3 linked regions of the Arabidopsis thaliana genome follow. The protein of the gene in region 1 interacts with the protein of each later gene in a pairwise test. Each region holds a gene or a part of one and is shown in the gene's direction. Other genes may lie near its edges. The genes, in order: CB5-E, BTI3 and SIP2;1.

Evidence for each region.
Region 2: the proteins of CB5-E (region 1) and BTI3 interact in a two-hybrid assay, tested with the Arabidopsis thaliana proteins (one large-scale study listed by BioGRID).
Region 3: the proteins of CB5-E (region 1) and SIP2;1 interact in a two-hybrid assay, tested with the Arabidopsis thaliana proteins (one large-scale study listed by BioGRID).

What each region holds. Positions count from the first base shown.
Region 1 is NC_003076.8:21,757,507-21,761,170, forward strand, and holds CB5-E (cytochrome B5), read left to right. Parts: upstream 1-1,822; 5' UTR 1,823-1,958; intron 1,959-2,110; 5' UTR 2,111-2,121; coding exon 2,122-2,208; intron 2,209-2,441; coding exon 2,442-2,508; intron 2,509-2,596; coding exon 2,597-2,847; 3' UTR 2,848-3,072; downstream 3,073-3,664. Other genes in the region: YSL3 (YELLOW STRIPE like 3), read left to right, coding at 1-48, 137-254, 333-1,270; AT5G53570 (Ypt/Rab-GAP domain of gyp1p superfamily protein), read right to left, coding at 3,418-3,664. UniProt on the Arabidopsis thaliana protein: Membrane bound hemoprotein which function as an electron carrier for several membrane bound oxygenases, including fatty acid desaturases.
Region 2 is NC_003076.8:16,634,371-16,638,500, forward strand, and holds BTI3 (VIRB2-interacting protein 3), read left to right. Parts: upstream 1-1,658; 5' UTR 1,659-1,859; coding exon 1,860-2,061; intron 2,062-2,278; coding exon 2,279-2,459; intron 2,460-2,538; coding exon 2,539-2,680; intron 2,681-2,764; coding exon 2,765-2,834; intron 2,835-2,923; coding exon 2,924-3,102; 3' UTR 3,103-3,538; downstream 3,539-4,130. UniProt on the Arabidopsis thaliana protein: Plays a role in the Agrobacterium-mediated plant transformation via its interaction with VirB2, the major component of the T-pilus.
Region 3 is NC_003074.8:21,077,797-21,081,535, reverse strand, and holds SIP2;1 (small and basic intrinsic protein 2;1), read left to right. Parts: upstream 1-1,679; 5' UTR 1,680-1,891; coding exon 1,892-2,179; exon of another isoform or gene 2,180-2,361; intron 2,362-2,436; coding exon 2,437-2,697; intron 2,698-2,785; coding exon 2,786-2,946; coding exon of another isoform or gene 2,947-2,950; exon of another isoform or gene 2,951-3,052; coding exon 3,053-3,125; 3' UTR 3,126-3,239; downstream 3,240-3,739. Other genes in the region: PIP5K4 (phosphatidyl inositol monophosphate 5 kinase 4), read right to left, coding at 1-579; CRD1 (dicarboxylate diiron protein, putative (Crd1)), read right to left, coding at 3,267-3,530, 3,610-3,708. UniProt on the Arabidopsis thaliana protein: Water channel required to facilitate the transport of water across cell membrane. Inactive in yeast cells.

The sequences.
Region 1 (3,664 bases):
CCATCAACTCTTCCTGAAAACAGCATGAAGAGTCTCAATGGTTACAAGGTTCCATACAAAAAACACTAGTACTCTACAATAAACTCCGCCCTTTCTTTCGCGTACTTTCGTTCTTAATTTGTTCATAACTCTTTAGGTGTTTATATCAATCTCATTGATCCTCGGAGACGGGCTTTACCAATTCATCAAGATACTTTTTAAGACAGGAATAAACATGTACGTCAAGTTAAACAATCGCAACTCTGGGAAATCTAGTAAGTATACACCAAAAAAACTATAGAAAAATCGTCATTTCAATAATGTATTATCTGATGTTCAAACGTAAATCGCAGATTCGGAGAAAGATAAGCAATCTATTGCAGATCTTAAAAGAGATGAGATCTTTGTAAGAGACAGCATTCCATTATGGGTTGCAGCAGTAGGATACGCAGCGTTCTCTGTTGTCTCGATCATCGCGATCCCTATAATGTTCCCCGAGCTGAAATGGTACTTCATAGTCGTAGCTTACATGTTAGCTCCATCGTTAGGTTTCAGTAACGCTTATGGAGCAGGGCTAACAGATATGAACATGGCTTATAACTATGGTAAAGTCGCTCTGTTTATCTTAGCCGCTATGGCAGGGAAACAAAATGGTGTAGTCGCGGGACTTGTCGGATGCGGGTTGATAAAATCGATTGTATCGATTTCTTCTGACCTAATGCACGATTTCAAGACAGGACATTTGACTCTGACTTCACCTAGGTCGATGCTTGTGAGTCAAGCGATCGGTACAGCGATCGGATGCGTTGTGGCGCCTCTAACTTTCTTCTTGTTTTATAAAGCTTTCGATGTCGGGAACCAGGAGGGAGAGTACAAAGCTCCTTACGCTTTGGTATACAGAAACATGGCAATTCTTGGAGTTGAAGGTTTCTCTGCTTTGCCTCAACATTGTTTACAGCTTTGTTACGGGTTTTTCGCATTCGCGGTGGCGGCAAATCTCGTTAGGGATAGGTTACCGGATAAGATAGGGAATTGGGTTCCATTACCGATGGCAATGGCGGTTCCGTTTCTTGTTGGAGGGTACTTTGCTATTGATATGTGTGTGGGAAGTTTGATTGTGTTTGCTTGGAATATGAGAGATCGAGTTAAAGCCGGTTTAATGGTACCGGCGGTTGCTTCCGGTTTGATATGTGGAGATGGTCTATGGATTTTGCCGTCGTCGGTTCTTGCTTTGGCCGGCGTTAGACCTCCTATATGTATGGGCTTCATGCCGAGTAAATATTCGAGTTAAAGATAGCTTTTTACGAGTTTTTACTTTTTTGTGTAGCGACAAAAAAATTAGCTAAAGAATTGTGGAAACAAAAAAAACAGTTTATATAGGAATTGTACTTTGTAAGTTTGTATACACAATAAAGTAATAAACTAGTCTCTCAATTCTATTTAAAAATCCATGTCCCAAGTAACTTCTCCCCAAAAAGAAACTCAATATTTTAGAATAAGGTCAAATGGAATTAAATTCCAGAAGATATTTGCCAAAATAGTGATAAAAATACGGTTAAATTGGTATATGTTTTTACTGACAAAAGGCAAGATTCTTCTATTTTAAGATTTATTTCTTTCTTTGAAATCTGCTAAACGTTGTTAGATCACACTTTATGTGTCTGTTTTTTTTTTTGTCAATTCAGCACACGTCATATTTGTATTTTTCAAAGTACCAAACGTGGACCAAAATAAAATCTCGTCAAAAATGGAAACCAAATTTTAATTTGATTTGCACAAAGCCCAATTTGATTTGTTTAAAGTCAAAGCCCAACTTGACCAAAACTACCCCTGCTCATCCAAACCCTAAGCAAAATATCGAGGGTAGTTTCGTATTTTGTTTATATTGAACACAATTAAGTAGGTGAGGAACCTCTATTTCTTCCGTCTTCTGCTGATTTCTGAGCTTCGGAGCTATCGAAAATTCTGAATCTGAAAGGGTAAAGATCCCATCTTTTTCCAAAAATCGATAAGGGAATTAGTATATTCGTTCATTCATCATCGTTCTGATGATTTCGATTTGAATCTGTATCTAGTACTCTGTATTATCAGAAATTTTGATTAGTAGCTTTGATGTGTTCTTGTTTTGCAGTTTGAGTGAAGATGTCTTCAGATCGGAAGGTTCTAAGTTTTGAAGAAGTTTCAAAGCACAACAAAACTAAGGATTGTTGGCTTATTATTTCCGGCAAGGTTAGATCTTGTCTCTTTGTTTGAGAACATCTCTGTTTTTTGACGAACTTAGTTCTCTTCCGCCATTGATTTGTGTCAAAGCTTCGATTTTAAAGTTGTAGAGTTGGATTGTTACTGTTAGAAGCTTTAATCGAGCCCCTCGTAGATTTAGTTGATTCTATGTTAATTCACACTAGAGAAACAGAGTTTGTGTCTACTACTTGGTTATGATCTGTGATTGTTGCGTTCTTTAGGTGTATGATGTGACTCCATTCATGGATGATCATCCTGGAGGCGATGAAGTCTTGTTGTCCTCAACAGGTATAAAACTTGTGTTTCTCTCTGATTCAAGGCGGATTTGAAGCGGCTCGGTGACTGTTTCTGTTCTGATGTGGTGTTTTGTTTGCAGGGAAAGATGCTACAAATGATTTTGAAGACGTTGGTCACAGCGACACTGCAAGGGACATGATGGACAAATATTTCATTGGTGAGATTGATTCGTCTAGTGTTCCAGCAACTAGGACATACGTTGCACCACAGCAACCAGCCTACAACCAAGACAAGACACCAGAATTCATTATCAAGATTCTTCAGTTCCTTGTTCCGATCTTGATCTTGGGATTGGCTCTTGTCGTCCGTCACTATACCAAGAAAGACTAGAAGAAGCCAAAGGCTTGCTTTGATGCTTGTCATTGAATATCTCTACCGATCTCTGTCTATCTCTCTTGCGAAAAAAAGTACTGTTACTGTTGTTTGGTCTTAGACTGATTCTTGTTGAAATTACGAACCAAAAATCATTGTGTTGCTACTAGTTTTACTGTGTTGAGTTTATGATGACAGTGTTTTCGACTTTGATGATATAATAAAAGACTGCTTGATTTGCCCAAACTTAAGCTGCTTGATAAAGAAGTGAGAAACTGGATTTCTACAATTGAACAAATATGTTTCATACAATTGTGGAAATGACAGTTTCAGACTCATCCGTTACATTTTAACAAGAATATTGCCTTGTCTTTTTCATTAGTACTACAATAAAAGCGATAAGGATAGTAGTATTGTGTTTTCTCTGTGTGATGAGTAAACAAAAAGAAAGAAGAAAGAAAGAGAGGAGTGAAAACGGTAAGAACCAAACCGCAACAAACTTTAAACCTTGAGAAAACGCAGCCAGACGAGTGCAAGGGCTTTTGTGTAGTGGAAACACTTCATTTCTGGCTTTGATCGACTTCTTCATCAAATACTCTGTGATTGAGAAAGAGTTTCAATCTTGTCGTGAAGCGTCACGACAAGATGATGGGCATCATCAAGAAGCTTCCAGACATTAAGCTGACCAGCCATGCTATTACACTCTTCCACAATCTCATCCATACTACTGTATTTCTGTATGATCAGTTTCCTACGTAGTACTAACGCCGCGATTGCATAGAGCAACAAATCATCCGTTGGCGGTGCTTGTTGCCGGATTCTGCTCCATGGCGAC
Region 2 (4,130 bases), 5.1 Mb from region 1:
TACAAATACAAATTTAACGTACGTAACATTTACATTTAGTGGACTAGAACTCAAATCACCCTATTACAGCTTGCATATATAGTAAATTGTTTTTGTTTTATAAGTCCAAAAGGATTAGTCTAAATTACATTGTTTGGTTATCAAAGAAATTAAAATAAAAAATTAGATAAAATTAATCGAAAATGAAAACTTAACATGAAGGTTGAAATCTCCAAATTATTTACTCATCCTTTTTACCAAACTCAAATATGATATTTTTTTCTATACGTAAAACTCAAAATTGTATATACAAGAAATTTAGCTATCTAAAAATAACTATATAATAAGCCATTATAGTAAGCCACAATTTTGACCATCTACGATCTTTTCTTTTGTACGTAGTAAGGTTTGGTGCAAACTTTTGCAAGTAATTAGTATATAGCTCTTATGGATATGGTATATTCCTGATATGAACTCTGATTGGGTAATGATTAGCACTTAGCAAGGTAGTCAGATTTTTGGCTTTGGCACGCATGGGTTTCACTGTTTCAGGATTGAATTGGAATTTTTTTTTGATTAATTAATGTATAATATTTTATACAATATAAAAATATATTACTGTATTAGGTAAGAACTTTACGACAAAAAAAAAAAAATAGGTAAGAACTTTAAGATTATGCAAGGGTCTTAAAACGAGCCACGTAATCTTCTTAGACCCACGATAGTAGATTTTTGAGGTCTCCAAGAATCTCTTATCCTTTTTGTCATCGAATCTCTCTCTCTTTCTGAAGATATATTAAGAAACAAATCTCTCTTTTTCTTCGAAAAGGTTGGTTAGGTGAAGGACAATTCTCATCCACACGATTAGATGCATAAAATTATATATATAAGAAGAAAATCTAATTATATGAAATGGTGGAATTTCATGTCACACTAGACGACGAATCTTCCATATTAAACTCACTTCTAACACTGCATGTGTATGTAATTATGTATATGAATGAATATCCAAATAGAATAATATATTTGGACTAATCAAATTATTGGAAAAGTACATAAATAAATAAGTGAGCTTTCATTGTCAAACCTGATTTTGTTGATCTCTGGGTTTGCCATTACTCCAAAAAATCTTACCTTCAAGAGTGATGTCGACACAGTGGAGCACACGTGTTGTAACACGTGTCATGACTCAGCTCAAAATTGGATCCCACGGAAGAAGTTAGATCTCGAGGCCAAGAGACCAGAGTCATCAATTCAAACCCCACGTGCGTGAGAGTCACTGACTATTCTCCTCTTATCTTCCGGGTCTTCGAAATCCAATATCTCCAAAACGCAGCGTCTTGGTTAATTTTTGAGATGTCAATATATATAATCTGTGACCTTGTAATGTTTAATCAACAGGTGTATGATCATCTTTCATCTAGGAGCATTTTCATTCTATCAACATATTCTCATAACAATTTTACTATGCCTAACAATTTTTTATTTTTACTATGAAATGGATCAGTAATAAATGGGCCTTAATACTGTACCAACAATCCCATAAATGGGCCCAATGCTGGATCCTATCCGCCGACATCTAACGTTCCACTAACGGAGACGTTATCGGGAATATTCACATTAATTAACGACCGTTAGTTCCACGCCAAATATGTTACATCTGCTACAAAATAAATAGTTTGATTTTCCACCGTGGACGGTTACCTACTCGAGGCCCAGACCCGAATCAAACGGACTGGATTAAATGTTTTAAATCAAGGGGTGGGATTAAATCTGAAGCACACGCTTTTATTCGTCACAGTCTCCTCCCACACTCTTCAATCAGTAAAGAGTTTTAGGTTTTTTTTTCTTCTTCTCGGAGGTTTGTAGAATCAACAAAAATGGTGGAAGACCACAAGCACGAGGAATCGATCTTGGAGAAGATTGTTGAGAAGATCCATGGCCACGGTGACTCGTCTTCTCTGTCCGATTCCGACGACGATAAGAAATCTACATCGTCTTCGTCGTCGTCCTTCAAGTCAAAGATTTACCGACTTTTCGGAAGGGAGAAACCTGTTCACAAGGTTCTCGGTGGTGGAAAACGTATGGATCTATCTCTATTTCTTCACTTTGAACTCTGATTTTACTCGATTTTGTATCTTACATAGTGATTTTGCTCGATCTAGTGAATGTTGCTCTAATTTGAAGCTAAAATTGAGTGTATTTGAGTGCTTAATTGTCTGCTTTGCTCGAAAGTACGCTTAAATCTTGTGAAATACTCAGAAACTATGTTGAATCTGGATTCATTGTTTGCATGTAGCTGCTGATATATTCCTTTGGAGGAACAAGAAGGTATCTGGTGGAGTCTTGGGTGCTGTAACTGCGTCTTGGGTCTTATTCGAGTTATTCGAATACCATCTCCTCGCTTTTCTCTGTCACTTTGCGATTTTTGCTCTTGCAGCATTGTTCTTGTGGTCTAATGCTTGTACATTCATCCACAAGTATGTTCTTACAACATCCCTTATATGTTAAGTGTTAAGTATGAGATAACTGCCTGATCAACTGAGTTCTTATCCTCAGGTCAACTCCTCACATCCCGGAAGTTCACATCCCTGAAGATCCTATTCTTCAACTTGTTTCTGGATTAAGGATTGAAATCAATCGTGGTTTGACCCTTCTTAGGAACATTGCATCAGGAAAAGATGTCAAGAAATTTATCCTGGTATTGTTCATGTTATCTACCTCGATGCAAAGCGGTTTTCTTATGTTCCTCATAAATGCTAATACTTGCTTGCACATGTTTTAGGTAATTGCTGGCTTGTGGGTTTTGTCCATTATTGGCAGCTGCTACAACTTCTTGACATTGTTCTACACTGGTAACGATTCATTTACATCTTACTGCATTTAATCTGATAGGAATCATACTTGCATATCTTGATAACCAGCTTTTCTTTCTTGCTTCCAGCTACTGTCCTTCTCTTCACCATTCCTGTACTCTACGAGAAGTATGAGGACAAAGTAGATGCCTATGGGGAGAAGGCGATGAGGGAGATCAAAAAGCAATATGCAGTACTTGATGAGAAGGTATTGCGTAAGGTCATAAGCAAGATTCCAAGAGGAGCTCTGAACAAGAAGAAGGATTAAGGAATGTGAGTTACTCTCTCATTGGAATCGTAGTAATGGTTCAAGACATGTTTTGTTAGAAGCTGTTGGTTGATAAACCCTTTGATCTCTTGTTATTATTATGTTCATTATAAATTTGGGGGTTTTAACTAAAAATATTTAGATTATGAGAGAACACGGATGGATGATAATTATTGTTGTTAGTTATTTGTCTTAGTTAATTTCTCATCCTTTTAACAGCTCTCCATGATGGTATTCGTCATGTCAATTTTGCATCATGTCTGAGGATTGGTCCATACACATAAACTCAAATTGTTTCGTGGGTTTTTCGCTCTTCACTGCTACTGCGATCTAACTTTAGTTCATAAGAATCTTTCTTGTTTTTATTTGACTAATAATATTCTTCCCATTCCATCTCTTTCATCATCTCAACATCTTGTTCATAGGAAAAGCTAAAATGATTGGTATATGAACTAGGTTAAACGCAATTTGATAATTTTCCAAAAAAATTTGTTCATAATTCTTTTGCCAAAATTGCGATTTCACGATTTCTCGACAAAAATAATCACACAAAAAGTGGATTCCACAATACCAAACGCTTTCGGTATGATAACCATCAAATCTGGATAATTACTTAAAGTAAGCAACATACGTAAGGTAGACAACTAGGTGTTAATCACTATATATAGTTTGTAGTAGAAAACAATATCAAAAGTCAGGATGGCCGAGTGGTCTAAGGCGCCAGACTCAAGTTCTGGTCCTCGTAAGAGGGCGTGGGTTCAAACCCCACTTCTGACATTTCTGTTTTTAGTTTTATGTTCAATGACTGGATTTTTAAATTTATTATTTTTCCGATTAAAGTAGATAACTTTTTTTACAACAACCATTATTTTTTTTTTTGTCATCATTTAACCATTTACTTTCAAAAGCAAAAAAACTTAAAGATGAACAGTGACGACAAAAAAGAAAGAAAAGATGAAACAGTGAAAGCCAAGTACAGTCATTTTGATTAAACCGTATTCATTAACCAACTTTTCACTAACTATGGT
Region 3 (3,739 bases), on another chromosome or scaffold:
CATGTAATAGCTCCCATCTCTCCACTGATACTTTCCTTGGGCTTCTTGCAAACCCCTCCTCCATTCACCATCATACACATCTCCATTCGCGAAACGCTTGATTCCATGTCCATGTTTCAGGTTCATCACCCACTGACCTTTATAAGTATCTCCACTAGGACCTGTGTAAAGGCCAACACCATCCATGTATCCACTTTTGAATTCGCCTTCATATGTGGCACCAGAAGGCCACCCGAACTTCCCTCTTCCCATAGTCTTCCCGTTGTACCAGTCACCAATGTACATGCAACCATCTGTCCAAAGATACTTCCCATGCCCGTGAGGAAAACTATCATACCATTGCCCTGTATAATAGTCTCCATTAGGAAGTATTCTCTCTGCATGGTACAATTCCCCTATGCTGCTTCTGTTAGTGCTGGTCTCATCATCATTCTCCTCAGTCGTAGTAGTAGCATCATCATCTGTCTGTGGAGCTACAGATACCGTCCCAAAAATGCTGTTTGCACGCTTCTTCGCTTGTTGGGTCTTTCTTACGGTCACCTCCCAAGCCTTTAGAACACAGCTTTGTTCCTTGCTCATCTTCTTAAACTAATAAAACTTTTCTCTAAGATACCTATATGTATATCCTAGAACATAAACTCAGAAAACATATTTGTTCTTGTCTAAACAACAATCCTATCAATGTACACATACACAAGAGAAAACCATGAACTCTGTGCAAAAGAAAAAACAAAGTGTAAACCTAAAACCATTAAATCAAACGCAGCATGAAGAAATCTGCAATGGTCTTTACTCTGTGACTTCCTGTCTCTATGCCATTGAATCACAAGAAAAAAGAATGTTTTTTGGTCTTTTAGAATGCAACATTTTCGGAGTGAAAGCTGATATGAACAATCATGGAAACCTAACAAAGAATCAGAGAGAGAGAAAAACCAATGGCCAAAAGAGTTAAGGGATCAAAAAAATTCTCTCCGACATTTCATCTTTTCTTGTCAATTCATCTTAACTAATTATGTCGTTCAAAGAAGAAACCGTTCATCTCCTCAAACCAATGAAAGCCTTCAAATTTAGAGAAACAAGCATGACCCATTTTTCTCTATTCTTAGCATCTCCGAGCTTTCCTCTCATAAACAAACATATTTTCTTCAGAACAAAAAAAATCGGAAAAAGTAATAATTAATCAATTTAGCCAAGACTGATAACGTCTCCAATCTGAGATCACTAAGAGCTATAATCAAAAACAGAGGTAACTGAAACTCTAACTCACTGAGGCATTCTGTCGAACACTTTAAACGCATTGCTTCTCCACTAACAAGTCACATTTTTCCGTATATTCACAACTTATTTTCAAAAGGAAAGATCCATTCCCAATGCTGAAGCTTCAAACACCATAAACGATAGAAGAGAGACAAAAGTTACAACCCAAAGCCAAGCGTGTAAAGATCAAAAGGTCATATTTTTCCTGAGGGGAAACTTCCGTCGCAGGTTAAAATTGGAGGGCTTTTTTGTAAACAATTCTTAAGAAGGCTAATTGTAGTAATTTATTTGTAATTATTAGTTAACTGTGTAAAGTAAATACTTTATCCAGTAATAACGTATCACTTTAGTTGATGTCTATTGGTTAATAGCCGAAGCTCGTTCCAAAATCGAAGAGAATCTATAATCTCATCACGACACACCAAAGCCAAAACCTTTATTGTCGGAAGCTGACTCAGACTCAAACAATGTCTCTAGCGTCAATTATATGCTAAATTCACCAGCCGCTTAGAGCCAATCATATAATCTCGATTCTCTTCAACGGTCCTCAATTATCCTAAATTCAGATCATAAAAACGCTAACTTTTAATTTCTTTCTTTCTGAGAAATTGGTTCTCATCGTTGGAATCGAAAAATGGGACGAATCGGTTTAGTAGTGACTGATCTGGTATTGTCGTTCATGTGGATATGGGCAGGAGTTCTGGTCAACATTTTAGTCCATGGAGTTCTTGGATTTAGCCGGACCGATCCTTCCGGTGAGATCGTTCGTTATCTCTTCTCTATCATCTCCATGTTCATCTTCGCCTACCTTCAACAAGCCACCAAAGGCGGGCTTTATAATCCTTTGACCGCTTTGGCTGCTGGAGTCTCCGGTGGCTTCAGCAGTTTCATCTTCTCCGTCTTCGTTCGAATCCCCGTCGAGGTTTGTTTCGTTGACTTTTTTTGGTTTAATTGAAATTGACTCTTCGTTAGAGAGAGGTCTCAGGGTTTGTGTAATGTTGTAAAATGTCAAATTAGAGAAAAAAAAGGAGAATTTAGCTGATGGGTTCTTCTTTGAAAACCAGATCATTTTGGTTATATGCTCTATTGTTTTATAAAGACTTCATCTTGAAGATCTTTTGCTCTAATGTGTAATCAAAGATGATACTATTGTGAAACTCTGGTTTTGTGTTATTTCAGGTAATAGGATCAATTCTTGCGGTTAAGCATATCATTCACGTATTCCCTGAGATTGGGAAAGGACCTAAACTAAATGTAGCAATTCACCACGGTGCTTTAACAGAAGGGATACTAACATTCTTCATTGTACTGCTCTCAATGGGACTAACAAGAAAAATCCCGGGAAGTTTCTTCATGAAGACTTGGATCGGTAGTCTTGCTAAGTTAACTCTTCATATTCTTGGCTCTGATCTTACCGGTGGATGCATGAACCCTGCAGCTGTATGTACCAAAAAAAAGTCTTGTGATTGTGATTTCAGCAAATAGCGATCTTTGTTTTGAATGTTTGCTTTTGTGTGAATCTTTGCAGGTTATGGGATGGGCTTATGCACGCGGTGAACATATAACGAAAGAGCATTTACTTGTGTATTGGCTTGGACCTGTGAAGGCTACGTTGCTTGCAGTTTGGTTCTTCAAAGTTGTGTTTAAGCCTCTCACCGAAGAACAAGAGAAACCTAAGGCCAAATCTGAGTGAGGAATGAGGAATGAGCTCAGCTTTCATATTTAATCCTCTCTGGATAAATCTCCTTTACACAAGACACAGAGGGTAGGATTGTTTCCAGGGATATTTTCGTAGATTTTGTAATGTGTTTTTTTTTTATGTTGCAAACTCAACTGTATCAACCAGTTCAATAAAATCTGAAATTTAAGTAAGTCCAATGCGCAATATGATCAAATATATGCAGTAAAAGTTTATTGCAAAAAAAAAAAGACGATGTTTCTCAGTTTCGATCATTCAATTACAAGAAATCAAGAACCAGCCGTAAACTCAAGACTTGACATTGCAGCTACTAATAGACAAGATTAGGCTCAAACTCGGCGAAATCAACAGAGCCAGACTCAACAGGAGGCATGAGATAAGCAGCCAAGATCTCAGAGGCTAAAGAAGTAACCAAAGGAATCCTCTTGAGGGTCTTGATGAAGGAAGCATCATCTGTTTCTCCTATAGCCAGCAGCTTCTCATAGCTCACAACCATTCTATCCAGTTTCCTCTTGAACTCAGGGTTCTCAACATCCAGCACCGCAGGGAATATTCTTGCCGTGGTTCGGTTTGTCTGAAACAAATCTCAACATTTTCAGAAAAAGGAACATAACACAGGTTAATATTAATCTTCTTGTTTCAAGTTCCTTTACCTCGATGATGACATGCATATCGAACTCCTTTGTGTTTAACCCGATACCCTCGTAGAAATTAGTTCTTTGGCAGTCATTGAGGTACATTGTCACATAAACCTGTAAAGCCAATCCTCTTACTGGTTAGGCC